Linked DNA regions of Rhinolophus ferrumequinum. The protein of the gene in region 3 purifies or fractionates together with the protein of the main gene of each other region. This does not show direct contact. Links are inferred from orthologs where the notes say so. Each region holds a gene or a part of one and is shown on either strand. Other genes may lie near its edges.

What was found.
Region 1: the proteins of ZC3H18 (region 3) and SSRP1 purify together in Homo sapiens (affinity purification with mass spectrometry; 3 studies listed by BioGRID and IntAct, with this or other methods). This does not show direct contact. The link is inferred for Rhinolophus ferrumequinum from reciprocal best matches to the Homo sapiens genes ZC3H18 and SSRP1.
Region 2: the proteins of ZC3H18 (region 3) and VIRMA purify together in Homo sapiens (affinity purification with mass spectrometry; 3 studies listed by BioGRID and IntAct, counting the BioPlex papers as one, with this or other methods). This does not show direct contact. The link is inferred for Rhinolophus ferrumequinum from reciprocal best matches to the Homo sapiens genes ZC3H18 and VIRMA.
Region 4: the proteins of ZC3H18 (region 3) and FNBP4 purify together in Homo sapiens (affinity purification with mass spectrometry; 3 studies listed by BioGRID and IntAct, counting the BioPlex papers as one, with this or other methods). This does not show direct contact. The link is inferred for Rhinolophus ferrumequinum from reciprocal best matches to the Homo sapiens genes ZC3H18 and FNBP4.

Annotation. Positions count from the first base shown.
Region 1 is NC_046294.1:11,754,407-11,761,609, forward strand, and holds the start of SSRP1 (FACT complex subunit SSRP1), read left to right. Parts: upstream 1-4,184; 5' UTR 4,185-4,324; intron 4,325-4,813; 5' UTR 4,814-4,888; coding exon 4,889-4,942; intron 4,943-5,334; coding exon 5,335-5,520; intron 5,521-6,143; coding exon 6,144-6,249; intron 6,250-6,517; coding exon 6,518-6,708; intron 6,709-6,813; coding exon 6,814-7,044; intron 7,045-7,180; coding exon 7,181-7,203. Other genes in the region: P2RX3 (P2X purinoceptor 3), read right to left, coding at 2,117-2,235. UniProt on the Homo sapiens protein: Component of the FACT complex, a general chromatin factor that acts to reorganize nucleosomes. The FACT complex is involved in multiple processes that require DNA as a template such as mRNA elongation, DNA replication and DNA repair.
Region 2 is NC_046297.1:35,890,408-35,897,935, forward strand, and holds the start of VIRMA (protein virilizer homolog), read right to left. Parts: upstream 3,016-7,528; 5' UTR 2,763-3,015; coding exon 2,700-2,762; intron 1-2,699. UniProt on the Homo sapiens protein: Associated component of the WMM complex, a complex that mediates N6-methyladenosine (m6A) methylation of RNAs, a modification that plays a role in the efficiency of mRNA splicing and RNA processing.
Region 3 is NC_046298.1:33,214,171-33,221,382, forward strand, and holds the start of ZC3H18 (zinc finger CCCH domain-containing protein 18), read left to right. Parts: upstream 1-4,196; 5' UTR 4,197-4,376; intron 4,377-7,212.
Region 4 is NC_046294.1:13,559,150-13,566,721, forward strand, and holds the start of FNBP4 (formin-binding protein 4), read left to right. Parts: upstream 1-4,565; 5' UTR 4,566-4,706; coding exon 4,707-4,929; intron 4,930-5,166; exon of another isoform or gene 5,167-5,234; intron 5,235-5,933; coding exon 5,934-6,026; intron 6,027-7,572.

The DNA.
Region 1 (7,203 bases), on a different chromosome or scaffold from region 3:
GGCTTGAGTGCCACATCTCCAGAAAACCTTCCCTCGGTTCTCTGATCAGGTCAAACACCTCCATACTAGCAGTCTCTCCTAGCACCCTGAGCCACAGTTGAGATTTTACATTTGTTGGCAGAAATTATTTGATCAATGTCCATCTCTGGCATGATCTGCTCCATGAGGGTGAGGACCCTGTCTGCTTTTGCCCACCGTTCTATCCTCAGTGCACAATATCTGGCATGAAGAGATGCTCAATACATTTCTGCTAAATTAGCGACAATGGATTCCGGAAGTCCTAATGGTGCATGGGCTCACGTGCGTGTGCAGAAATGGGGCTCACACCAGGGGGCTGGGCCGCAGAGGGCGCGATATAACTGGAAGGAGCTGCCCCGTGGGGAGCTGTCAGGCTGGGAGATGGATGGGGATGAATATCAAGATGCCAAAGAGCCTCTCGTGCTTCCTCCAGCAGGCCCGGCTCCAGCACCGAGGATCAGAGCACCAGACTGCATCCTGATGCGGGAGAGACAAGGGCAGTGGGGTGCTGAGGAGGCTGGTCCAGGAGCCCGTGCCTCTACCCACCTCCATCAGTCTCCTGCCTGGACCCAACGAAGTCAGGCCAGGCTGGCAATGTGCTGAGGCAGCATTTGCACTCACCTGGACCAACGCACCATCCTGTGGCTGCATATAAACCATCAGTGCATCACACATGCCCGTGAACGTGGAAGCTTTAAGAACCAACTCTGAGCCAATCTCCGGAGGTGCGGGCAGGAAACGTTTGCAAACATCATATCTCACAAAACCTCAAACTTGGAAGAGAACTTCAAGGCCATTTAACCCTACCCCGAAGCATGAGTCCCTTCTCCAATGTCCCCACGAGGAGTACAGGATGTACAGCTTTGTCTACAATACACGCATAACTGAAGCTTACTGGCTCTCGCTAAGCCCGCGGAGCAAAAATCCCTTAATTCACGTCTAGCCACATTTCCACGCACACCCTCACACACTACTGTGACCTTCAGGCAAGGAGGCCCCCCACACGCAGCTCCCACCCGTACGCACACAGGATATTTCCTTTGGCTTGCTTGAATTAACTCATGACAACCATCAGTGGCTTGCTGTCTCTCTCACACAGACCCATTGTCTCAAGGAACAGCACGAGACTGGAGACCTGTACACCGGGAAAGAAAACCCTTGAGGTTTTGGCCTGTATTTCCTGATGCCCGTGTGTGTGAGGGACCATGAGAAGGACAGAACCTGTGTGTTTTCCCCCACCATTGTGTGTTCCATGGCCCTTTGTGCATGGGTGTGAGTGTGAGTGTGTGTGTGTGGGTGCCTTCAAGAGGTGGGGGCCACAGGGGTGTTCAGACCTTGCTGGCTCTTAGGCACCTCCCAGCTGGGTTATATAGTACAAAGTCAGGTAAAAATAGAGAATTTACGTTTTCTGACAAAGGGGAGTGTTTCTGGCTTCTTGAGGAAGGACGCTACACTATGTTCAGAAAAGCCACTTTTCTCTTCAACAGCTCTCCCCTCGAGTGTTATTGGTGCCCGTGGTTCTCCCTCCCTCCCAAGGGGCAGGTCTTCCCGCTTTGTCCTACCCTCCAAAAGCCCGGCTTCTCCCCTTTTCATGTTCTCTCCCCATCTCTCCATGCCAGGAGGGGACCCTCATTCTAAAGCGGATCCAGTTCTCTCCTTCCCTCCTCCAGCTGGCCCTCCTGACACCCCGCAATCAACCTGTCACTGGCTCCCTTGTTTCAGTGCCTTTCTATCCCCATTCCTGGAATCCCTTGTCTTTTTGAGACCCCAAAGGGTTGACTGAGATGAATGGGAAGATGTGTGTTTGGGGGTCTGTCTGTTCTCTGGTTGGGGGGGAGAGATGAGAAAAGGGAGAGGGGAGACGGTCACCTGGGACCTCTCCTGGTGGAGGGTAGTGCCCTCGCACTGCGTGTCTCGGGAAGCCCCTTCAACTCCGGAGGGTTTACTGTGAAAAAGAACTCATCTCAGGACCAGATCCCCGATGGGGCCACAGAGGCCAGTCCGAAGGACATGGCTCCACAAAAGAGACTTCCCCCAGAGAGAGGAGAAGCTTGGGAATCTGGACAGCCACACTAAGGGGAGAGGGGGCCAGACTCACCCCACAAAGTAGGAGATGATCAGAAGCTGAACTGCTCGGTTGATGATCCCAATGGTCCAGCTCTTCACAACCACCGACTTGGTGGTCTCGTAGGTAAAGAAATCTGACATGCAGTTCATGTTGAAAGAGTGTTCGGGGGCCACTCAGAAGGGACCCAATGGCAGTCTCAGGAGGGAGCAGCCCTCAGACAGGGAGATAGGGATCAACGCCTGGAGGGGCGGCGTAGAGGGGCTTGAGGAATGGGGAGCCTGTTCCTTTAAGTTAGGCAACCCTAGTCCAGTGCCCAGGCTCTCTCTGCTCTTGACACTCTGGGCTGCCAAGAGTCCAAGGCCAGGGCGGTGGGGGGGGACCCCTTTTTGTTCGTCTCCACCCTACTCCCCTGTGATGTCATGGCAGGGGTGGGGTCTCCAATCCCAGGCTCCTGATTGCCTGGGATCCAGCTGGCTAGGGCCCTCTGGGACTCATGTTTTATCTGCACTCTGTCTATCGTTTCTGTTCTGTTCCGTTCTCTTATGCTGCATCTTCATCCCAGCTCACCAGCTGCTTTATGCTCTCCTTAAAGCCCCTTGCAATGCCCCATCCCCCAGCCACCTAATAGCCTGCCTGCTCTGAGTACCCCTTTCATTCCGGTCTTCCTAAAGCCACTCAAGTCTGCAGCCATCCCCTCCCTTCCCAAGTTGCCTCCAACAGCATGGGGCAGGGGGACGTGGTCTTAAATATTTCAGGTGGTCTCTTGGGAGGGGGCGAGGAGCGTCACAGCTCATATTTCTAACTGAAATTGGCAGAGGCTGAAACTCTATCTGTAGTATTATCACATTGGGTTATTTATTTCTTTTTGTTGTGTTTTTGTTTTACTGTCAGCTTACTCATCTGAATCATTTGTTAGATTATATGCTCCTGGAAGGCTGGTGCTGTTTCCATCTTGTTCACTTAAATATCCTTAGATCCTAGAACTCTGTTGGCGCTCAATACATATTTATTGAATCCAGATGAATTTATGTTGCTAGATAGTGGTGCAGTAGCCATTACCCAGAGGTGACAGCCATGAGTTCAGGGAGCAACAGTGCACTCCCGCTGTCTGTTATACCAGGATTCAGTCAGCAAGCTGGTGTAACTGGTTTAAGTCAGATTTTCAGAGAAATCTTGAGTTTAAGTTTTCTGTCCTAATGTTTTCGCACAGGACACATACGCTCAATTGTTCTGAAGGTAGAGTTGCTGTGATTATGACAGAAGAGAACTGGACTGGGGCAAGGACATGTGGGTTCTAATCTCCAGATTTGTTGCCAATTTATGAGACGCTGGTTAACTCCTCTTTGGGCCTCAGTTTTCCCACCTGCAAAAGGAGGTTGGAGTTGGCGAACCCAAACTCGTCTCCTGGGTCTGGCCACCTTTGATTTTGCAAGATGCATCCTAGAACTATGTGAGGAGGGCATTTCTCCCTCCGGCAATCCCAGATTGATGTGGTTTCAGGTCAGCTCTGGCTCTGACACCAGCACTTGAACTTGATACCTCCGTTTACCAGCCTCTTCCAGGCAACCATACATTGCAGTTAGACATGTGACGTTTTTTGGGTGCAGACAGTGAACTCATTTCCAAAAGGATCCAATCTCATGTGACTGACAGGGGAGAGCAGGACAGTCACAATGACACCAACACACGCATTCTCTTCGCAGCCAGTGGGCGGGGTCATTTCTCTCAACTCTTTAAATATGTATTTTTCTTCTTGTCTCACAAATTCCTACTCTACAGAAACCACTATTGGGCAGGAGAGAAGGGCCCACATCCATCCAACACATATACACACACATCTGTGGAAAGTCTGATAAAAGAAAACTACACAATTTCTCTTTAGAACCTAGTCCTTCACTGAAGAAGTGTCTGTAATATTTAAAAAGCCCTACGCGTACCCATTTTCTAGCCAGATTCCACGCGGGTGGGACTTCCTCGCCGCCCTGCCGACCTCAGGTCCTCCAGGGCCGCCGACGCTCTATGTGACCGCCTCGTAGGTGGGCCGAGCTCGCACCTCTCTAGCCATCTCATCCTCTCTATGATCCGAGCACAGCTTCCGGTGGCGGGACTCTGGGGCGCGCACGCGGGAAAAGGTTCCCCAGTGTTCCCCTACCCCCTGTGTCCCTACCCCCCTTCCCCCGCATCCCCTAGCGCGCCCACAGCCCGCACCTGGGCCGTCACGAGGCTACTGCTTTAGAGGTGGGTGGTCACCGTCCCCGGGCCTCTGGAGGGCGCGGGTCCCGCTTCCCCCCGGGACGCTCGAGATGGACCGTTCCGCGTTCGAATCTGCGGGTAGCGGGCGAATCCATTTTAGGGGGAGGGGGAACCGTGGGCCTGGGGCCGCGGCGCGGTGGGAGCTCTGGGAGGGAAACCCTGCACTCTGAGCTGGGTTGGAGCACGGGTGAGGTGCGGACTTCAGGCAGGCCCTGGGATACCGCTGCTCGTTGCCATGGCGCCGGGTGGAGCGTCCAGAGCCCGTGTCTGGTTAGGGTGTAAGCGCTACTCCAGGCCTGGTTCTCTAGCCGGGGCTGGGCCTGGCCCCTCGAGCTCTGCGGAGCCCTCCTGTAGGCTCCTAGGCAGAGGAGATCCTGAGACATCCCAGGCACAGCCACGGTTGCTACCTGGCCCCATCTGGGGGCAGAGTGAAGTGCTGTCTTTCACGCTCGTCTGTTTTCCTCTTGAATTCAGATCCCCAACTTGCTGAGGATCTGCACACCCATCCAGGAGTTGGGGCCCAGCTTTCCCCAAAAGGGAAAGGACAGCATGGCAGAAACACTGGAATTCAATGATATCTATCAGGAGGTGAAAGGCTCCATGGTAAGAAGGGCTTGGGCTTCCACTACAGGTGGAGAAGGGAAGGGAGTGGACTTTTTGTCAGTCAACAAGAGCTACTTTGAAAAAGGAGTCAGTATAATGCGTACCTCGTGTTTCCCTAACAAAAGGCAATAGTGAGAGAGTACAAGAGTTACAGGATCTCAGAGTTGGAAGGGACCGGACCTGCTGCTCCATCCCGCATCCCCAACCTGAGGACCTGCAGGGGTTCTGGATGCCAGAGCCCGGATTAGAATCCAGACTTTCTGGCTACTTGTCCCTTCTTGCTGGCCCTCACCACTTCAGCTGTTGTTCCTGCCAGCCTAGGTGTTGGGTGGGACTGTACCCAGTATGCACTGTGCACCGTCCCCGTGCATTTGGGTCGATTTTTCCAACAGAACGATGGCCGGCTGAGGTTGAGCCGTCAGGGCATCATCTTCAAGAACAGTAAGACGGGCAAAGTGGACAACATCCAGGCGGGGGAGTTGACGGAGGGCATCTGGCGCCGTGTGGCTCTGGGCCATGGACTTAAACTGCTTACAAAGAACGGCCATGTCTACAAGTATGACGGCTTCCGAGAATCGGTGAGGTGCCCTGTTGCCATGAACCCCCCTTTTATGGCGTCGTCTTGTTTAATTTTAATGTAGAGAGAGTTGGGGCTCCTTCCTCTGATAACCATGTATTTGCTAGTTTGGGCTCCACAGAGCAGGGCCATCGAGGTCATTCAGCAGTCCGTGTCCAGTTTTGGGTGCAGAGTCTTGGGGGAGTCTTAGTGTCTTGACTCCAGAAGATTTGCTACCATTTTGATTTTTTTCATGGTTTCTGCTTGTTGCCTTTGTCCAGGTTCAGCGTCTTAGCTTGATGCTTTAGTTTGGGTGTTGTTTTCCCATTTCGAACTGCTTGAGTTAAAGACTACTTCACGTTAATTTCCACTTGCATTAAAGCAACACCTCTATAAAGTCAGATAGCATTGTGAGGAATTGTCAGTTCCGTATTTCATTCTCCCCCCAGCCTGAGAGCCAGTCCCCAGAAACAACCTTTTTCAACATCCTTTTAAACAATTTTATAGCTGAGCTTCTAAGTCAACGTGGATTTCTGATAAAAGGTATATCAGGGCAATTTCTCCGACATAGATGATCCCGAATGTTCAAGTTTGTGTTAAAAGCACTGGGGTTTACTGGGACTACTCTCTCCACTCCACTTGCAGGAGTTTGAGAAACTCTCTGATTTCTTCAAAACTCACTATCGCCTTGAGCTAATGGAAAAGGACCTATGTGTGAAGGGCTGGAACTGGGGAACCGTGAAGTTTGGTGGTGAGTCCTGGGCAAGGATTGAAGTTTGGGGACAAGATAGGATGAAGGGTTTCAGCCTTTAACTTGTTTTGCTCTCTTTCTGTCACTGTCTCTGACTTCCTGTCAGTCTGTAATTCATCATGTATTTATTGAGGACCAACAGTGTTTCAGGCACTGTGCCTGGTCTTGGGGGTACAGTTTGAGCAAAGTAAGCCCAGTGCCCTGCTGGGAATTTGGCTTCTGCAGACTCGAGGGGAGGAGCTGGTGGCTGATAGCCCTTTCCCTACAGGGCAGCTGCTTTCCTTTGACATTGGCGACCAGCCGGTCTTTGAGATACCCCTCAGCAACGTGTCCCAGTGCACCACAGGCAAAAACGAGGTGACATTGGAGTTCCACCAGAATGATGACGCAGAGGTCTCTCTCATGGAGGTGCGCTTCTACGTGCCTCCCACCCAGGAGGATGGCGTGGACCCCGTTGAGGTGAGGTGTCCCCTGGTCACCTTGGGAGCAGATGGTATTGAGCAGGCCTTAGCTGGCCCAGGAGCAGAATCCCTGCTACTGGATGACCAGTATGTGCTTTTGCAGGCCTTTGCGCAGAATGTGTTGTCTAAGGCGGATGTGATCCAGGCCACTGGAGACGCCATCTGTATCTTCCGGGAGCTGCAGTGTTTGACTCCCCGAGGCCGATACGACATTCGAATCTACCCCACCTTTCTGCACCTGCACGGCAAGACCTTCGACTACAAGATACCCTACACCACGGTGCTGCGTCTCTTTTTGCTGCCCCACAAGGACCAGCGCCAGATGTTCTTTGTGGTGAGCAGAGACCACCGGCGGTGGATTGTCCTGGTTTTTGCCCGAGTCTTTAGTAGCTAGATCTCACTGGGGTTCAGTTAATCAGCAAGTTCTGGACCATTGATTGATGTTGAACCTCGTCGGCTCTTCCTTCCAGATCAGCCTGGATCCGCCCATCAA
Region 2 (7,528 bases), on a different chromosome or scaffold from region 3:
CCTGTGGATACAAAGACAAGACATAGTCTCTGCCATTAAGGAACAATCTATTGGGGTAGACAGAAAGATAAATTGCTGTAACACAGACTCACACAGAAAACTGAAAATTCAGAGAAGTATTTACCTAACTCTGATTGTGAGCAAATATTTATGGGGGGAAAAGAGTGTCTGGGAAGTAGCACCTGAGCTAATTAAGTCTGCAAGGAAAACAAGAATCAGTGGAAGAGAAAGAGAAGGAAGAGCTTTCCAGACAAAGGAAGAAACATGCACAAAAGGAAAGCAAACAAGAACTTGGAAGGGTCAAGTAATTGTAAGCACAGTTCACCATGTCGAGAGGGCAAAATGGGAGAGGGAAGTAGAGCAGAGTAGCTAAGTACAATAAATAAAATTACAAGAAATAAGATTTTCATCCACTGCCAGAGGTCGACTTCAAATCCTTATCTCCACCTCGAACATCTCTCCGGAGCCCCAAACCACTATATCAAACTGCCAACTGGATATCCCCATTTGAATGTTCCTCTGGCACTACAAACTCAGCAAGTCCAAAACTGAACTCTGCTCAAAAACTACCCATTTCCTACAAAATAAAGTCTGTACTCCTCTGTTGAGCATCAAGGAATTCTATGACCTGGCTTGGAACCACCTTTCAGGTGCCACTTCGCACTGCTACTTTCGCATACACTACAGAAGACTGACTATTCCAAGAGAATATCCTCCTTTCCTGTCTACTACTGTGGAACATACCCTCTTCCACCAAAGATCAAGTTGAGATGCCAACTGCCTTGATGAAGTCTTTCCTAATGCTCTCAAATAAAGATCTCTCCTCGGAAATCACACAACCTTTATTTGTACCAACAAAAGGGGGCTAAATAAATACCAACTGGGGTCCTAGTATGTCAGAAAGTGATGGGCATTCTGTCTCTTTATGCACTCATCACATTCTAACTTGAATCATAATGTTGTAGACCTACTCTCCAATACTTAGTTATAAACTCCTTTAAAACAAAACATCTCAATAATCCATATCCCTCCCAAGTCAAAAAATAACATTGTAATAACTAAGTATAGTGCCAGGTGGATACTAGACTAATGGGAGGATCACGTCATAAATTATATAAATGTCCAACCACTATGCTGTACACCTAAAACAAATATAAAATAAACTGCCAACTGTAATTGACAAATAAAATAATAAATTTTTAAAAATAGGCTTCAGATACAGGAAAAGGTTCCAGGAAATCAGGATCCAGAACTAAAATTTTTTTTAAAAAAAATCCATATCCCCCTATAAATTCCCACTTCTCCTTCAGGACTCAGTTCAAATGTGATCTCTACTAAGCCTTCCCCAAACATTGCCAGGATACTGTTCCTATCCTCTCATGGTCCTCAATGTTTGTCTAAGAATGAATAAAGAAATACCAGATTCTTAAATATATAAGTGAATGAATGCTAATTTTCCTAAACTAAAATACTACTAATTCATCATATGCTTCTTTCTTTCATTTTTAACTGTTCTCTATTTCTGTACACATGACAGGTTTGTTCTGATCCAACTACGGCCTCCATTGTGAGTTTTCTAAAGCCTAGGTGGAATTACAGCCAGAAAAGTATGGTCATTGAACAAAGAGCTAATTGACCTACATGAAATGCGAGACAACAAATTAATTCATTGTTAGTAAGACATGCTAAAGTTTCCAAACATTTTATTTTTATACACCTATAAACCACTCATTAAAGTAACTAGAAGACCAACGTTGACATTTTTTTATTTTGTCAAGTAAAGCATTAAGATACAACCACTACCCACTATTATCACTATCTCCAAGGAAAGAATAGTTCTCTAAAATGATTAAGTCTACACTGAAAGAAAATGTGTGGGTTCTGAGGTTTCTTTAATTTCTCTGTGGACTTTCTTAATGTTCATTTTTGACCGGCTTTCGAGAACTCATAGCTATTTAGCTACATTCAATTTACATACCGCAGAGCCAGTCATATATGTTCAGGGCCGCTCAGATTATTACCGAACGATTACTCCACAATTCCCCACCCTCGCCCCTCAAAACGACAATACTACAGTGCTTTATAGTTTGACTACAATTCTCTCAATTTTCCCCTCCTCGCAGGTATTCTCCACGCAAAAGCCGTTCCATGTAAGTATTTCATGTCCTAATGAGTGAAATCTTTCCAGGAGGTAAGTATTAAAGTTTCAGGGCAAACTGGAGAACGCCGCAATCCTAAACCGAATGAGTGCCACATCTGGGCAACCCAACTCCCGTTAGGAAATGGACCTAGTAGAAGGGAGTTAGGAACCACGAAGCCAAGGTGAGCTGATCGGTTACCTGCACTACTGTCAAACACAAGCGGTCTGAGGACCCTTCCCAAACACCCCCTGAGGTACACCTGAGAACCAAGATCATTTCAAGGCCTAAAGCTGAAGGGGGGAGGGGGAGAGCAAAACAAGCTGAGCAGCCACCTCAACCAAAGAGGCGGGAGCCTGAGGTAACAACGCAGAGAAATGTGGGGGCCACCGTTGCCCTCCCTCAGACGCAGTACCCACACACTGCTGGGAGGGAGGGGGGGTGTATGTGAGGAATTAAAGCGGCAACCGGCAGGAAGAAAAGTGGAAGCACGCCTAAGGATTTTTTTGTAAGGGTACCAAAGTCGAGAAGCAGGGTCAGAATCAAATAGTGAAGACTTACCTCAGCGTTCGGGTGCTTAAAAGTATCTAAAAATAACAGCTCCATCGCTGAGTCCACCGCCATGTTTGCCACGGGAGGGGAAAGGGGGAGGACTTCCGGGGCAGCCGTCCAACCTCAGCGACTGCGGCTCAGGAGACAGAGAGATAGACAGAGAGTGAGAGAGAGGGAGACGGAGAGGGAGAGGGAGAGGGGGAGGGGAGGGGGAAAGAGAGGGAGGGAGAGACAGAGAGACAGAGACAGAGAGACAGAAAGACAGAGAGAGACAGCAGCACTTCCGGAGACCGGAGCGCTAGTGCCTCAAGCCTTGGCCTATCCCGAAGCGCGGTACTTCCCGAAGTCGCCGGCCCCGCCTACTCCAGCGCGGCGGAGGGCTCCCTCGAAGCACCGAAGAGGTGGAGGGAGAAGAGGGGAGGACTACGGTGACTCCAGTGGTCCAAACTCTGTTATTCTACCGCGTTACAAAGCCGCAATGGCCTCGGAGTGGCGGAGTGTCGAGCAGGTTTTGAAGAGGTGGAGGAGTGGGGAAAGCTGCCGGCTCTGGATACCCAGTGAAACCGCCAGCAAGCAGACAGTTTTTCCAAGACTGGCATGAAAAAAGTGCAATTATCTAAGTTGAATAGTAAGACACTTCTTAAAAAGAAGAAAAGAAACGTCTTAAAACGAAGAGATTTTTTTCTCATCTTCAAAATGTAAATAATAATACCCAACCCACAGGCTTTTTGTGAGGATAAATTGAAATAAAAATTCAAGAAATTGTATAACGTGAAATGCCATCAACATCAAAATGTAGAGTGAAAAGTCGCCGTCTCCCTGTTGAGCATTGCAGCAACTGGAACTATTTGGTAGTCTATATAGACAGGAGTGCTTGGGAAAGCAATTAGGAATTATTTAGTGAAATTACACGTGCCTACCTCACTTCTAGGAAAATTCTTGCACTCGTGCCCAAAGATACACCTACAGATACAAGAATGTACATGGCAACACTATATTGCAAAAAAAGCTGTAAACTTGTCATTAACGAGAATAATAAGTAAACCTTGGTATATTTATACAACGTGGTTGTTGTATATAGCAGGTAGAAGGAGTGAACTAGTGCTATATCTACTAACATGGATAATCTAAAAAACGGTTAAGCAAACAGGTTGAAGAATAGTGTAAAATCACCTTTATATAGTTCAAAACATGCAAAATTACGTAAATTTTTAGGGGCATATATGTTTTAAAATTATGAAGAAATGCATTGGAATGATAAACACTAAAATGTCAAGATAGTGGTGAACTGGAGGGAGATGTAATTGAGAAGTGCACAGGGGCTTCAAATGCTTTGGTAATATTTTGTTCTTTAGATTGGTGGTGGTTTCACAGTTGTGTCTTACATTATTGTCTGTGCCTTTTGATATGTCTGAAATATTTAATAATGCATTCATTTTTCAGTTTTAAAGTAAATGTCCCATCCACCCCTTCCTCAGCCACCAGTTTCCTCTGTTAACTAATAGTTTGTCTCTTTTACTATTTGTTTTTTCAAAGAACCAGTTCTTGCATTCGTATTTATTATTTCCAGCGTTTTTCTATTTTCTGATTCTTTAGTTTCTGCTTTGGAATTTACTAATTCCTTCTGCTTTAACTTCTATAGTGATGCTTAAGTTATTTATATTCATATATCTTATTACTATATATATTTATGTCTACCAACTTTCACCTAGGCTCTGCTTTAACTGTTAATATACCTTATAGTGCTTTATATTATTGGTATATTTTACATAGTCTGATTTTCTTAGCTTTGATTTTCATTTTGACCTAAGAGTAGTGTGCGATAGCTATTTTTTTAACTAATAGACTATTTTTTAGAGTAGTTTTAGTTTTCCAGGTAATTGACCAGATAATTCAGAGCTCCCATATATTCCGTTTTTCCCCTGTTCAAGGATTCCTCTATTATTAATATCTTGTATTGATGTGATGCATTTATTATAATTGAACCAGTATTGACATATTATTATTAACTAAAGTCCGTGACTTACATTAGGATTCACTATTTGTGTTGCTCATATGTACTATATGTATATTTGAATTTATAGACTATCTCTGAAGGAATTATGCAAGAAACTGAGAATAGTTGTTGCCTCCTGGGAGGGAGCTTGATGGCTAAGGTACAGAAATAGAGGGACTCTGTTTCCATGTACATATATTACCTATTAAGTAAAATTTTAAAAGATTAATAAAAATTGAGGAGTAGAGGAAATCTTGTATAAACATCTCTTCCAAGAAATTTGTTGCATAGAACAGAGAAATTAGGTGGTTGTTCGAGGGGAACATGGGGTCAAGAGAGAGTGTTTTTAAGATGGGGGCATAAATGACATAAATGTTATACAGAGTGTGCAGACTGATGGGAATGAAGCAATGGAGAGAGAAACAGTGATGAAGAAGAGAGAAAGGGGATATCTGAGGCAGCAAAGTATTGAGTATGTGGGCAGGGAACCCAAGTAGAAAGTGACCTTTGCTAGAAAAATCACCTGCTCCCTGGTAACAAGGGGAAAGGAGTCCATGGGTGCACATACAGATAGGAATAATGACTTAGTATGTGGAAATGAGGGAGTTCCTTTTTAATGGTTTCTTTGTCTCAATGAGATCATCAGCTATGACTGAGAGGGCAGAAAGATGTCTAAGAGGTCAAAGAAGAGAGAAGGTATTAACTAGACTTCCGGGAGAGCCCCGAATCCCTGGTTGGCTATCTATCACCTCTCATAGTTTGTAAGGCATCATACTCACTTCTTGCTCACTCTTTCACCTTGTCCCTACCACACCACTTTGATGATTCAGCCATTCCCAGCTAGATGTAGCTCGCCTAATACAGAGGTAAGAGATATAAGAGATGTGAATCTCTTACATGGTTTTCTTTGCTTTGAATGTGACTCCTCAATACGGCTTTCAAAAATCTACACACAGTTAAAATATAATGCAAAAGAATAAAATAGCTAAGGAATAACTAACCAAGAAGGTGAAAGGCTTGTACACTGAAAACTACAAAATATTGCTGGAAAAAAAATTAAAGAAGACTCAAATAAATGGAAAGACATCCATGTTTATGGATTAGAAGACTTAATATTGTTAAGATTACAATGTTACCCAAAGTGATCTATAGATTTAATGTAATCCCTATCATAATTCTAATAGTTTTTTTTTAGAAATGGAAAATATGATCCTCAAATTAATACAGAATTGCAGAGGAACCCCAAATAGTCAAAATAATCTTTGAAAAGAACAAGTTTGGAGGACACACACTCCTAATTTTAAAACTTACTGTAAAACTACAGTAATCAAAACTAGTAATGGCATAAATGTAAACATGTAGACCCAATGGAATAGAATTAAGAGTCCAGAAATAAACCTTAACATACTCGTATATACTGAATTGATTTTCAACAAGAGTGTCAGGGCTATTTGATAGGGAAAGAATAATCTCTTCAATAAATGGTGCTCGGATAACTGGCTATATGCAAAAGAATGCATTTGGACCCTTATCTAATGCCATATACAAAAATGAACTCAAAATGGATGAAGGACCTAAATATAAGAGCTAAAATCATGAAACTCTTAGAAGACAACATACAGGTAAATCTTCACTGCCTGGGATTTGGCAATAGATTCATAGATATGATACAAAAAACACAAGCAACAAAGGAAAAAATAAATTGGACTTCCTCAAAATTAAAAACTTTTGTGCATCAAACTTAAACTATCAAGAGAGTAAAAAGAAAACCTACAGAATGGGAGAATATATTTGCCAATTATATATTTGATAAGGGTCTACTCTCCAGAATACGTAAAGAACTCTTACAACGCAACAACAAAAAGATAAACCAACCGGTTAAAAAATGGGCAAAAGGACTTCAATACACATTTCTCCAAAGAAGTTGTACAAATGACCAATAAGCACATGAAAAGATGTTCAACATCTTTAGTTATGAGGGAAAGGTAAATCAAAATTACAATGAAATACTTCACACCCATTAGGATGACTATAACTTTAAAAAATAAGTGTTGGCAAGGATGTAGAGAAATTGGAACCCTTGTATATTGATAGTGGGAATGTAAACTGTTACAGCTGCTGTGGAAAGCAGTTTGGCAGTTCCTCAAAAAGTTAAACAGAATTATCATATGACCAAGCAATTTTACTGCTGGGTATGTACCAAAAGAATTGAAAACAGGTGCTAAATTACTTTTACACACATGTTCAGAACAGCACTACTCACAATGCCCAAAAGGTCAAAACAACCCAAATATCCATCGACAAATAAATGGATAAACAAAATGTGGTATATTCATACTCCCTATCCCCTTATTGTCTACTCCTACTCCTCAAGAGATTTGATATTCACACATTTCTTTTTTTTATTATTACTTTATATTAATTTCAGGTGTACGGCATAGTGGCTAGACATATATGAGGTGTGATCAAACAATATGGTGAATGTTTAAATAAAAAAATTTATTACACTAAAAGACACATTGCCATTAATCCCTCTCAAAATATTCCCCCTCCCTTGAAACACACTTATCCCATCATTCTTGCCACTTTCTGAAACAGTTCTGGAAGTCCTCTTTCGTGAGTCTTTAGTTGCGCTGTCGTGGCTGCCTCGATGTCCTGAATCATTTTGACTTTAGGGAAGAGCCAGAAGTTGAACGATGTCAGATCCGGTGAATAAGGTGGATGAGAACAGACCGTAATGGTTTTATTTGACAGAGATTGCTGTATACCTGAAGCGATGTGTGACATGGAGCAATTGTCATGATGATGGATGATTTACAGAACACTTTAAAACACACCTTCT
Region 3 (7,212 bases):
ACGCCTGTCTAGGTGTATGCCTGGGGTGGAATTGCTGGTCACCAGGTACTGCTCTCAGCAATACCACATCGTTCGCCAACGTGGTTGTGGCTCAGTGTAGCTTACCACCCGTGTTAAATTCAGATTCCGTGTTCCACGGTCTGTCACAGCTCAGTGGTGGCAGCTATCTTACATGGTAAGTCATGCCAGTGCAGGTGTTGTCCTTGACTGACCCAGTGGCCCTTGCGGGATGTGACCACAGCCTGTCAGCACTCAGAATGTGGGGGAATATGCCCATCAGCATCAGTGACAGTGACCCCAAATGATAAAACAGATGTTTACATTTCTTTTACATATGTCACAGCCAGAGTAACAATCTGGAGACAGCCTCGTTCATTATGTCAGAAAAGGCTTGGGTCTTGTAGTCCAGCTGCCTGGGCTGAAATCGCAGCTCTGTGACTTTACACTTCTATTTCCCCAACTATAAAATGGACATAACAATGGGGGCTTTATCCACGAGGAGCTCGGCACAAGGCCTGCTGGAGTGAAGAGCAACACAAACCAACAAAGTTTGTGCCTGTTACCGTGTGGTCTCTTCATTCTGCAGCAGGTGTGAATAGCCCCACTTTACAGAACAGGAAAACTGAGGCTTAGAGGGATGTTGCTTTCACTCTCACACCTGGGGCAGACAGACCTGGGTTCTAATCCGACCTCAGCCATTTTCTATCTTTCTAAATGCTCCCCTCCACCCCAATAAACACACACACACACACACACACACACACACACACACACACACAACTAGATGTTGCAAACATTGTGATTAGCCACTCAATGCCTGACCCAAGGTTACAGGGAGATCACTGCAATCCTGCTCTCCAGGAGCTCGTGCCCACCTGCAGAAATAGACCAGGGCTCTGGTAGGTGGTCCATTCAAGGTGAAACCTGAAGAATGATTAAAAGTTAGCTAGATGAGGGGTGGCCAGTTAGCTCAGTTGGTTAGAGCACCATGCTTGTAACACCAGGGTTGCTGGTTCGATCCCTGCATGGGCCAGTGTGAGCTGCGCCCTCCACAGTTAGATTGAAACAACTACTTGACTTGGAGCTGATGGGTCCTTTAAAAAAAAAAAGTTAGCTAGAGGGAAAGGTGGGAACAGTGTTCCAGGCAGCAGGAGTGGCATGTGCAAAGAAAAAGTGTGGAGCGAGTTGAGAGCCAGAGAGGGAGCATGAAGACTGGCAGGCCAGGCTGGTGGGGCCAGATTACAAAGAGCAGGTACATCAGGCTTTGGTGTTTGGGTGCAGAGGGAGCCCCTGGGGGGGGGGGCCTCAGGCTGGAGTAGTGAGACTGAAACAAACCCGAGATTATAGAAAGATGGCTCTGGATATCTGGGGGAGGGTGGGGGTCAGGGGACAGTGACAGAGCAAGTGGTGGTAGCTAGAACCAGAGTCAAGGGGGATGGAGAAAAGGGAAGACAATTCAAGACTCAGTTGGGAAGTAGAGTCACGGGTACTGGGCAGGAGACCTGCCCCATTTGCCTCTCCTCACCTCTCCCAGCCCTTTCCTCTTTTTCACCCTCACCTCCTCTCAGCTATCCCCCTGCATTTTCTCCCCTTCTCTCCTGTTTCCCTTCATTTCTTTTCTTCTTAGAAAAATAATAGTTTCATTAAGGTATCATTCAGATGCCATAAAATTCACCCTTTTAAAATGCATACTTCAGTGGTTTTTAGTATATCCACAAAGTTGTACAACCACCACCACTGCCTAATTTCAGAATATTTTCATCACTCCTAAAATAAACTTTATCCCCATTTAGCAGTGACTCCGTATTTCCCCTCCTTCGGCTCTGGTAACCACTAATCTAAGTTCTGGCTCTATGGATTTGCCTCTTCTGGATATTTCATGTAAATGAAATATGTAAGTCGGCTCAGGCTGCCATAATAAAACCATAGGCTGGGAGCCTTAAACAACAGAAATTTATTTTCTCACAGTTCTAGAAACTAGACATCCAAGATCAGGAGGCTGGCTTGATTCGGTTCTGGCTCTGGTGAGAGCCGCCTTCCCGGCTTGCAGACATCACCTACGTGTGTCCTCACGGGATAGAGATTGGGAGGGAGACACAGAGGGAGAGGGGACTTCATTCCTTTATATGGCTGAATAATATTCCATGGTGCGCATAGACCACATTTTATTTATCCATCATCAGTTGATAGACATCTAGGCTGCTTCCACTTTGGGGTATTGTGAATGATACAGCTATGAACAGTTGTGTACAGGTTTTTGTGTGCATGTGTGTTTCATTTCTCTTGGATTAGATACCTGGGAGTGGCATTGCTCGGTCACATGACAACTCTATGTTAATGCCTTCATTTCTTCCCTTGCTCATTCATTCATTCAGATAACATAAGGCAAACACCTGAGTTAATTCAACTTCACTGTGGGCCAGACACTCATATTTGTGGGCAAAATGGTGGCAGTCTGCCCCAAGGAGGAGGAGTTTTTCTGGAGGTGGAAGATGGGGTGAAGAAAGGTCTGCTTTGCTCACCATCCCCCAAAACCCTTAGTTACCGCCAGGACCAGCTACATAATTTGCAGGGTCTAGTGCAAAATTAAAACATGGGCCCCTTGTTCAAAAATGATTAAGAATTTGAAGGCAGGGATAGCAGAGCATTCAATCAAGCCCAGTACCCTTCTAAAAGTGGGCTCCTTGTCTCTAAATGGAGAGCGCAGTTTGATCCTCTGCAGGCCGCCCTGAAGGCAATTGGTAAGATGCAAAAATACCCCAAGTACCACACCATGTCCTTCTAATCATGAAAAGTTACCCTGGTAAGCTCATCCCATTTAAAAGATGTGGAGCTCTTTAGTCTGATGGAAATAGTTAAAAATGTTTAAGCTTTAGTATTTAAACTCACTCCATGTCTCAAAATGATTAATTTTGTGTTGAACTGTTTATATTTAATAGAGTGGAAGTTATTTAGTCCCATGGAAATTGTTTTAAATGTTTAGTCTTAGCCTGGAAGAAACCTCAAAGCAGAGGATCAGCTAACCCATGTCCTAATTCTTGACCTACAGATATGTATTACACCCTGCTCACCACCAAAAGTCGTTTCCATCTGTCACCACGCAATTGACCCTTTTACCTGTTTCGCCTTCCCTCCATCCCCTTTCCCTCTGGTAACCACAGGTCTGTCGTCTCTGTCTCTCTGAGTTTGCTTTTGTTTTGTTTTGTCTGTTTTTGTTTTTTGTTTATTTTGTTTTACATTGCACATGAGTGAAATCATATGGTATTTGTCCTTCTCTGATTTATTTCACTTAGCATAATACCCTCAAGGTCCATCCATGTTGTCACAAATGGTAGGATTTCACATTTCTTACCGCTGAATAATAGTCCCTTGAATATAAACATGTATACTACTTGTTCTTTATCCATTCGGCTACCTAGATACAAGTTGCTTCCATATTATTATTACAATAATACTGCAACAAACATGGGAGTGCAGATATCTTTTCAAATTAGTGTTTTCATATTCCTCAGGTAAATACCCAGAAGTGGAATTGCTGGATCACGTGGTAGTTCTAGTCTTAATTTTTTAAGGAATCTCCATACTGGTTTCCATAACGGCTGTATCAGTTTACATTCCCACCAACAGGGTAGGAGGTTCTCAGCTGATTATTCTTAAGAAAGCAGGAATAGTTTTAAAATTTTTAAGTTTTTATACTCAAACTCAGTATCTCAAAAATGATTAATTTTGTGTTGAACTGACTATATTTAATAGAGCAGGAGCTATTGAGTTCCACGGAAATAGTTACAAACGTTCAGGCTTTGATATTTAAACTCAGTATCTCAAAAAATATTCATTTTTTAGTGGGTGCTTACGTTTATTAGAACGGGAATTCGTTAGTCGGAGGGAAGTTAAAATTGAAAGCTGCGAGGGCGAAACCACCCATCGCTGCGCCGGGCGGAGCTCCCCACCGAGAACCCAGGGCGGGAACGTGGGCTCGGGGTGTCACTTGACCGCCTGGCGCCAAAAGCCCTCTCCGCAGGCGCCGTCACCCCGCCAGCCGCACACTAACCCAGAACACCCCTGGGGCGGGGCCTCGGGCGGCGCCTGCGCCCTGGCGGGCTCGGGCGCGTGCCGCGCACCGGCGGGAGCGCGCGGAGGCCGGAAGGAAGCGGGCGGAAGGCGGGGCGAGCGAGGGAAGCCCGCCGGTCCGCAGGACGGTCGCGGCTTGATGACGTAGCACAATGGCCGGCCCCCGGGGGTAGTGGAGCCCGTTTGTTCCGCCCGCGTCGCGCCTCAACCCGGAGCCTGTAAAGAGCGGAAGGGCCGAGGGACGTCTTCCCTGCGCCGGCCGGACCCCAGCGGAACCGTGGCCCCCTCCCCGCCCTCGCGCTGAGGTAAGCGGTGGCGGCGGCGGGGCATCTGGGCCGGCGGTGAGGAGGCCGAGGCGGCCAGGAGGGGAGCGTGGCGGCGGCGCGGAGCCCAGGCCGGGGAGCTCGCCGCCGCCGCCTCCGGGGAGTGCTCCAGGCTGCGCCCCCGGCCGAAGCGTGGTTCTCGGACCCCGGGAAGGGGACGCTGAGATAGACAAGATCCCGCGTTCCGTCTGCGCGAGCTGGTCCTGGGGGTCCTGAAACCCCACAGATCCCGAGCTCCCCGCGGCTGCCTCTGCGCCCCGCGGTGGAGTTGATTCTCTTGAAGCTGTCATTTCTCTTCCGGGACGTTTGCGGGGCACATGTTTGCCGCCCACAAATGTGGGAGTAGGCACGCAAGTTCGTCCCCCGGAGGCTGCCGGCCCGGACTGGGGATGAGCTCTTCGGGAACTTCGAGCTCTCTGGAGCCTCCTGGAACTTGCTCTCTCAGCTCCCCCAGTGTGCACAGGTGGGAGGTGTAGGCTGTGCCTAGAGACGGGCGCCACTTTCTCAGGAATATGGGATTTCCTTGCCCCTTTGGATAGGAGCCCAGAGAATGCTGAATCCTTGGTGTAAACTAACTGCAGTCAGTATGATGCTGGAAGACCTCAGACTTTGAGACTTCCAGTCTTGCTCTTGCTGAAACTTAAGTTCTCCTCACTGCTGTGTGACAGCTGAGTTTGCTGGGGGGAGAGGTTGATCGTTTTAAATGCCAGCAGACGCAATTGTAAGAGTAGGTCAGTCTTCAGATTCATTTGGGGCAAAAGGAGGAAGAGGGTGTTTGACATCTGAAGTGCTGTTCAGGGGCGTAGCAGTGGCTCTCATTTCTCCCGTGAGACTCGCCTCCATCATACAGCCCATGGATTGGTTCTTGTCCAGAGCAGAGTTTGGGATTCTCAGGGAGAGACTGGACCCAGGCTGATTCCCACTTCCAAGAGCTGGGAGGGGAGTCTTGGTCTGCTGATTTTACAATCTAAGACGTGGAACCCAGCCAGCTCTGGAAACTAATCAGCTGTGTCCCGAAGGCTGGAATGCCTCTCCAGTTTTGGGTGGGAAATGCTCAAAACGTTGTAAGAAAGCTTTGTGGAATCATTGCAGAGAGCAAACAGGTAAGCTATGACCTTGCTCACGTTTAAAATAGGTTTTTTGTTTTTAGTTTTGCACAGCTATCCATCGTCTCAAGGTGAGTGCTTCCTCCTGGAGTATTTTGGTGGTCAGGCTTAGTCAGTTGGGGGGTAGTGTTTGTCAGCACGCTCAACATCTTTCCTTTAGGTGACGTAAGTACGTGAAGTTATGTGCCAGAACTTAGGCATTCAGGTAGAGACTGCTCTATTTAAAGCTGTTATCCCAAAAAGTTATCCTTGTATTTTATTGGTGCTCCTTTGCCAAAAACCTCTTGAGAACTCCTGTTTTGGTAGTAAATACATAAGCCATGTGAGAAAATCTGTCTTATTCAGTAGTCACACCCTGGGTTTGACCAAACATTGTCTTACCTTGCTTAATAACTCAGCTCACTTACCAGACCAGGCTCTGAATGGCTTCCTGTGGTTTGTCAAAGTGACCCACCTTGAGAGGAGAAAGATTTGTTGCTACTGAGAGCACCAAGAGAGTGTTTTGCAGGTTCGAAAGGTCACTCAGGAGGGTAGTTACCAAAATGTTCTGTGCTTTAACAGAGCTATTGTAATCCATATGCAGCCTTCCAGAGTGACTGCTGGGAAATGAGACAGCTCCCACTCTATGCTTGAGTGCTGGTATAGTCTTCTAAAAATGAGGCTCTTATTTCAAATTTCTTTTTAGTACGCAACAGGTAGTTTATCAGGTAATGAGCTTTTGTCATTTATTAATTCAACAAACATTTATTAGTCACCATTTGCCAGATGCAGTAGGCAGTGGAGACACAGTGAGTGATGGATAGTTGTTATTCAGTTCTCTGGGCAGGTTCATCATCTTATGGATCAAAAGATTAAAGAATTAGTTCTAAACTTTGCCAAGAATCCTCGATTACAGGGTAATTGTGTGAGAAGAACAAACAGTAAAATCTGGGCACCTGGGACTTAGTGAAGTCATGAGCAGAGTGCCCTCCATTTCATTGTCTACACTTAACAGTGTTTTTCCTACCATCTGACATAGAGCACACATTCAGATATTTGTTAAATGGAGTTCATCTCAAATTAATTTAGGACACAGACACCTAGAGAGACAGTTAACCTGCCCAGAGCATGTCCGGGAACGCAAGCCATCTTCTGATTCCCCAGTGACACTCTTCCTGTTCTGTGTAGCATGGTGTGACTTGGGTTGTTTCTGATAACAGGGAACTTCTTTGGCGTATTTCCCTCTGCAAGGTGTTCACTTGTGAGCATCCTCAGATTGTCAATTCCCAGGAAAGAAGAGATGTGACTCCTTTCCTCAAGAAATTGTCAGGGCCTCCGAGGGTGACTGGATGTCTCCATGAGCTGCGGACAGACCCTGTTCATGCCTGCTGTAATTGTTAACAGTGCCCCTTTTCAGTCTCAGACACGTCCTAGTTTAGACAGTAAATCACATGAGAAGTCTGCTACTACACGCCAGCCATTTGCTGAGCCTAGGGAACACAGGTGAGTGTGAGCCCTCTAGTCAGGCACTTCATAGGGGGCAGTGGAGCCTCCCAACAGACTTTGCAAACAAATAATCTCAGTACAGTGCGGTAATTATGGATACATAATAGAATAATGTACAATATAGTTAGAGCAAGAGTTCTTACTCTGGGGACCATGAATGGACCTCAGGAGATCCTAACTTAGAAGATAAATTGTGGTATCCAGGTTTTTCTCAGGAGGAGAGACAT
Region 4 (7,572 bases), on a different chromosome or scaffold from region 3:
TGGGGTGCCGGGAGGGGCACAGGTGAAGGGAAAAATAAGAGCTAAGAGAAAACCTAAACAGAAAATAGCTATTAAGCCGTGGAATTTTCTATTTATCCCTGTAAGGAGGTAATAACTTCTGGTCTTTCGTCCACTATCTTGGGTGTATTGGCCGGGAATCGAACCCGGGTTTCCCATGGGGCAGGTGATGAGAATTCTACTACTAACCACATTGCATCATGGAGAACTTCAGTCAAAAGGATGTAAGAGTTTGGGACTAGCCTCATTGACAGCTCTCAAGTCCTGGACCATACAATATTCTCCATTTGGCTTTTTTACAGGCAGTATATGGGAGTTATAAGGGGACTGAGGATTGTCAGCCCATGACAAATACATTTATCAATGTGGGGTTTTAGTTCCCGATGAGCTTCTGGTCTCAAGTATTGGCGCTTGCATGGGTATCCTGCTGTTTCCTTTATCCTAATCTTTATAGAAGGTACCTGAGTAGATTAGACTTTCCAGGCATTCCCTTATCCCATACTATAGGATTTACAGCCAATCACATATGGGCCGGGATGAGATCCACAGGAACCTTGGTTGGGTCAGAGTCTGAGGCCAAGAGCGACATCAAACGATTGAGTTCATGGGGTGAGTCAAGAAGCTGGATGTTCGTGCCCAGAGCCATCATTAAATCCCTTCCCATTAAGGGAGTGGGGCATTCTGGCATAACTAAGAATTTTTAACAGACTAGACTAGACAGTCTTGGAGGCCATAGCAAAGGGGTGGGGTGAAATATCTTTTTTTAGGTTGGCCATCTACCTCAGTGATGGTGCCAGCTTTAGAGGTCAAAGTCCTGTGCATGATCTGTCAAGACAGAGTAGGTGGCTACCGTAACAATTAAAAATCTATTTTCTTACCTGCTACGGTACATCAAGGGTCACCCAAGGTTTTTGCATAATCACAAATGACGTCTTTCATAAGGCATCACCAGAAGGCCTGTGCTCCTCAGTCCTCCACAGATAGGACCATTATGGGTTTAGGTGCCCCCAGTTCCCTTCAGAGCCAGGGGCATTCCCTCTTCCAGTGGCCTGATTGGTTGCATTGAGGACAGGACCCAGGGGCTGTTTCCTGGAGCAACGACACTGGTTGCTCCAGTGCCCAGATTTTCCACAGCTAAAGCAGCCCCCCTTCGGGGCTGTGGGGAATGTCCCTATAGACCATCCCTTTATCTCTGTGGGGTGATCCTGAGGTTGCAGGGCGCTGCTGATAGTGACCACTACCATTTGAGCCTGTCACCTGGCCTGCCTGGTCTCACACGGGGTCTTTTTATCCTCCTTAACCTGGTCTCAATTGTTAGACTCCAAAGGCCATAAGCAACAATTGAGCCACTGGGGTCAGAGGGCCAGAGTGCAGTTTTTGCATCTTTCTCCTGATATCAGGAGGAGACTGACTGACGAAATGCTGGCCAAGCAGAGATTTTCCCTCAGGAGAGGAAGGGTCAATATTGGTAAATTTTCTGAAAGCCTTGACCAGCTGCCCCTGAAACAAGGCTGGATTCCGCCCCCCCCACCCCCATTCCTAAGTAACCTCCTTGACCTTTTCATAATTGAGTAGTTTGACTATACATTTTTCATACCTTCAGTTAGACAAAGCACCATATGGTCCCTTTTAATAAGATCTCCCTGCCTCAAATGATAATTCCAGGCAGGGTCCTGATTTGGGAGCACAGTTGTTCCCTGTGGGGTCTGTCTGGCTGGGCGGCAGCCATCCTATCTGCATGTCCTTGGGCTGTGAGCCAGAGTCTATGTTTTTCTTCAGGAGTGCAGCAAGCGGACATGACTATCAGGACGTCTCTCCAGGTTAGATGAAAGGCATTGTGAAGGCCTGGAATTCATCAGTAAATTCACTCAGGTCCTCAGAAATATCCTAACTTAATTTTGCATCGGGCAAGGATTGTCATGGAGAATAAGGCATGGATTCTAATGGTCCCTGCATCTCCATTTGCAACCTCTCTGAGTAGACATAATTTGGTAGAATCCGGGTGGTGAGAAGCTCCACTCTGGGTATGTCCTGGGGGGCTAAGTTCAGCCATCTCTTTTGGCAAGGAGTGTCAGGGGGAATAGAGGAGAACGGGGGAGGAGGTGAGCTGGAACTTGTAGGTGGAGGAGAGGGCAAGGGATAAACTGAAGAAACTGGGTGTTCCGGCCCTGGACCTCGCTGCTCTTATCAAACCCCTTCCCTGACAGGACAACAGCATTCCCGATAGAAGGCGACCGTCCAAGAGGTCAGGATTATCTTTAAGTGGGGCAGCCAGGGGAGTGTGAGCATAACAAATTTTACAGGAGCCAGTCTTTTCTGGGTCTCGATAGAGGGCCATCTGTACATACAGAATCGCTGTCCATTTTCCTTCTCCTTTACAGAAGAGGTCTAGTTGGAGAATTGTGTTATACTTTAGGGTCCCATTTTCCAGCTAGTTTTCCCTGTCCCCTAGTTTATATTGGGGCCAGGACATATTGCAAAAGAAAATAAGGCTGACCAATTTAAAATTTTTCGTTATTTACTATGCAGCCGAGTGATGAGTCTTCAGGTGTAGACTAGGAATTTCTCATGATGCCTAGAACAAGAAAACAGAAACTAGGTCAGACTAGGGAGGAGGGCATCCACTGGCTCTTGGTGTCTGACCAGCAAAACCCGGGTGTCCCCAGGGTAGACCTGGGCAGTCCCCAGTATTGAGAGCTCTTGACCCCTGGCGATTCCGGGGTTTAGAGCAGAACAGAGGTTTCCAGGCAACAGAAGCCGGGCTAGTAGGACAGAGGGAGTGGGACTTTGTAAAATGATATTTGGATCTCTCCTGAAAAAGGACCTCATGGCGCACAAAAATGACCCGAAAAATACAAAACTCCTGGAGGGAAGAACTCCTAGATTGTCTCTGTGATAATCAGTGGGAATGGCAAATAAGTGATCTAAAGACTGAATGGATTTCACCTGCAAGATTGGTCTAAGACTGGTTGTCACATCAGGAATCCAACCTGGGCTGCAGCACTGAAAGTGCCAAATCCTAACCGCTAGACCACTGAGAGAGACCACCCCTCTGTGCCCAATCAGCACTGATATATTGGGGCCATGGGCAGCAGACTGACAGCTGTCAAACCCAGAGGCCGCAAGAGACCAAAAGGCAGGAAAGTCAAAAGAGGAGGAGGGGAGCCTGGGCCTGTTCATAGAAGATGAGGATGAAAAAGTGATCCCAGGATATGCAAATAGTTTGTCGCGACAGATTCCACTATTATAGACAGGCTAGACAGACAGATTGGATAACAGAGAAGTCCAGAATCTCGGAGGCCGTACTAATCCTGAGACGGGAAATTGCCACGGGGAAAGTGGAGAGGTATGATTGTGGAACTGTGTACCTCATTGCACGGATATTTTCTTCATTTTGGTAGGGAAGCCTACAGCCAATCTACCCTGATCCATGACCAACTTATTCTGTCATGGGAGTCTTCAAGACCTTAAGTGCTCGGGCAATGGCAAAGATTTCCCATCTGAGTGGCCAGAAATGTCACCAGAGGCTAATGGGTATGTCCAAGAGAGAACTCAACCCAGAGCAGCGGTGACCAGATTCTTGACACTGCATAAGAAAGAATTCACAAGCAAAACAAATGCAGGAAAGCAAAAGCGATTTATTGAAAACAGAAATAAATCTTGAGAAGAAAGTGTGGACCAACTGAGAGAAGGTATCTCATGGAGGAAGTCATGATCAGAGATTTTTATTCCTCCCAGGGAAGGAACTGGTGACATCCCATTGACGTGATTCATTCATCTCAGCCCTCTGGGTGGGACCCTCCGTTTCCTTTTTCTTCCTTAAATGATTCCTCCGAGACCATCATGGTCTCAGATGCATGATGGGAGGCACAGTAACCGCAATGCAAATGACATTATAATGACATTAAAATTGGCTAAACGTCAGATCCCAAGGTCATAGGGATTAGCCTTACTGGATGAAACTGGTTGTTTTTCTCCAGCTGCAGGTGGTGGATAGTCACTTGTTACTTGTGTAACCAGTGAGGTCCTTCATGTTGTATCCTGGAGGGGGTTGTCAATTTCCTAGGCTACCTATCCTGCTGCACTTCTAGTGATTTTTTCCCCCAGCTGATGAGCAACATCATCTTTGTGCGCTAAAATAAACATTTATAAAAGCATAAAAGACCACTATTCTATTTAGTGTTCAATGCTATACCCAAAGTAAACCACAATAATCAGGGTGAAACTCGGGGAAAGGCCCTCAAATCAGCATAGCTTCCTAGAGGACAAACGAAGATGAACAGTAAGTCCAAAACAGACACAAGATGGAGGACAAGAGGGTGAAGAAAAGACTCCGCAAAAATGCCTGGGTGGAGCCCCACGTGATGGGCAAGTAATTCTAAACTCAGGCCCTTCCGCACTATTGGCTTGACGCTCACTCTTTTTCCTTTTCAATTGGCTAAAGATTCCTTCAATGGGTCAAAATAACCAATCGCTGAGCGCGGTGGATAAAGCCCGCCCTCCCTCTCTGGGGAGAGAAGCCAGAACATAAAGTGCTCAAGGCGCTTGCGCTGGCGCGCGCTCCGCGGTTAAAAGTGGATCCTCGCAGGAGGCGGGGTCACCGTACATGAATATTGATTACGCAGCGCCACGCCGAGCACCCTCCCCTCTCGGCTGTCCGACGCTAGCAGCTCGCGCTTGGGCTCGCGATGGGGAAGAAGTCCCGGGCGGTGCCCGGCCGCAGGCCTATCTTACAGCTCTCTCCACCGGGTCCCCGGAGCAGCACACCTGGCCGGGACCCGGAGCCGGAACCCGACACCGAGCCGGACTCGACGGCGGTGGCGCCCAGCCAGTCAGCCCCGCCGGCGCCGCCGCCGACGACGACCACCGCGGTGACTGCCGCCCCGGCCCCGGAAGATTCGCCTTCTGAAGGTAAGGGTGCGCGAGGGACCTCGGCCCCTAGGTGGGGCGTCCACAACTCGAGCTCGGGTCTTGTTGCGGCCTAGACCTCCCGGGCAAGGCCGGGGAGGAAGAGAATCCTGGCGGGCGGCGTCTGCATCCGAGGCCTGCTGCGTGGGGCCTGCGGGAAGGACGGCAGTGTGCCCCAACGTGGCGGAAGGGGCCGCGGAATCGCGCGCGCCAGTCCCAGAGGCGCCATCTCTGTTGCAGGGGTTGGCCCGGGCACCCAGAGTTTCGTCAACGTCCACGCTCGGTATTGGATAACTTACGGGGTAGATGTGAGTATGCGTTTCCGCGTTCGAGGCTTGATGTCTGGAACCTGATCTTTTCTGCACATCATCCGCTTTTCCCTTCGTTTTTGTTGATACTGAAAGAGACCCTTTAGAAGTGAGCAAACCCTTTTTACTATGCCAGCTAAAGTGTAAGTAAGCCCAAGTTGGCGGGTATCCCAAAAATTCCTGGAGAAGTAGAGCTTGTGGGTTCCCAAGTACTTGTGTGTTTCTCCTCGGAATGGTACTTGAATTAAGAGTAACTGGACAACGCTTCTATAAGCCAGACCCTGGAGTGGTTATTTTAGGTGTTAAAAAAAAAAATCACGTTGGTAGCTCATGCGGGGAAAAACATGCTATAGCTGTGCTTGTTGTAAAGGCCCTGTGGTAGCCTGGAGATGATGTGTTTGTGTATTTTTAAATTATTTCAGGTGTAATTTTTATAGGTAACGTTCAGGTTCTTAATGTTAAAGTCACTAGGTGGAGAAAAGAAAAGATAAAAAAAAGTAATTAGGTAGTTGGAAGATTCTAGCTCTACTTGTTTTTCATCTCCCACTTATTTGGGTCAGTGATGGATTATACACCCTGCTTTTAAATTGATGAAATTTAGAGTTGAAAGGTTAAATCAAAGATTATTTTGTCACCTATAGTGTTTTCTCTGGTCCATCATCTGACTGTAGTTTTCTTTTGTTCATTTTCTAAATCCAGATGAACAGGAAGTGGTGGTGGAGGTTCCCAGAGTTGTTCAGAATCCTCCAAAACCAGTCATGACTGCCAGACCCACAGCCGTTAAAGCAACAGGTATAGATTGTTTTTATTTTCTACATCTTTTCTACAGTATCTTTCATTAGCATCAAATTGGGTTTGTATATAGTGTTGTTGAATGCTTCGGTGTTGCTAATTTGTCTTTATCCCATAAAAATGAACATTTAAAATCTTTGTGAATTTGTTGTGAGTTAATATATATATACTACATACAGACACATATATATATCCTACATACACACGCACACACTTCAACCAATGTAAAATTTGTTGCATTTTATTTGGACCCAAAATACTTTGCACTACTTTTTCTTCTAATGCCATTTGGTAATGAATTTTCTGGCTCCCGCCACTAGATTTGTGTTCTTTAACACACTGCTTTGGTGGTACCTAGCAAATGTTTGTGGAGCTGAAAATTGCTTTTATTAAATACTTATTAAGCACTAAAGAGTATTTGCGACAGTGGTTTTGTAGGCAAACCTGCGTTTAAATTGCCACTCTGGCATTCATTCTGAGGCCTCAGGACCTCATCCACCTATACAATGGATCTTTCAGCCCTAAGTTAATTTGATGATTAAATCAAACAATGCGTATAAAGTTTTGACACATAGCAAATGCCAAAAGTGTTAGTTTTCTAATTTCTACCTATCTTGAAAAATTAAAATATGTTTTGATACTAAATATTCTATAATTGGTAGTAATTTTATTCTTTGCAGTTTGGACTGCTTTTTGTACTATGTGACACTGAAATAATAGATGCTTATTCCTCCTCACCGCCCCCTCCTTCCTGTTTGCCACTTAAAACAAAACAAAAGAATCCCAGTCTGAGTTAAAAAATCCCAGTGTGGTTGTGAGAGATATATCCAAAGTAGAAAATACTATTTTGTACTTACTAGCTACGTATGTTATTTCATTTGAGTCCTCTAAGAATCATGTAAGATAGAATTTAAATGTTCCTGGGAGAAATTTCTTTAATTGCTATGTCAGTCAGCACTTTAGGCATTTCTGTGCTTTGTGAACAGAAAAGCTTTTATTCTGTCCAAAATCATCCTGTAAGGTAAACGCTATAACAGCTTTTTTCAGTTCTTAACCTACCAGTTGGTATAATGCATAGAAAAAAGTTTGTCCAACAAAAACCAAAAGGAAAACAATTTTCCATTATTTGCATGGCTTTGTGTAACAAATAGAGTAGATACTCAAGAATTTACTTTTTAAAATATATCTTTATCACGTAAACATACCAAATTTCTTTCCACAAAAATAAAAATTTTAAGTTATTAAATATGTTTTTATAATATAGTAAAACAAGCATATCTCAATACTTTTATGCTAAAAACATTGCATATGCATGTGAAATTAAGGAAAATTTTAGAATAAGTTCTATTAGATCAATTGACCACTTTGATTGTCAACCAGTATTTAAGCATCTTCTAGAAAAGGGTACTTAATGTGGTTCCACAGATGAGTGTCAGCGGTGTGTGAATCCCCTGAAATGGCACACTCAAAGTGTGTTTCCTGGGAGAAGGTCTGTAGCTTTTATGAGATTGATTATTAATAATTTCTGTGACTAAAAGGGTTAGAA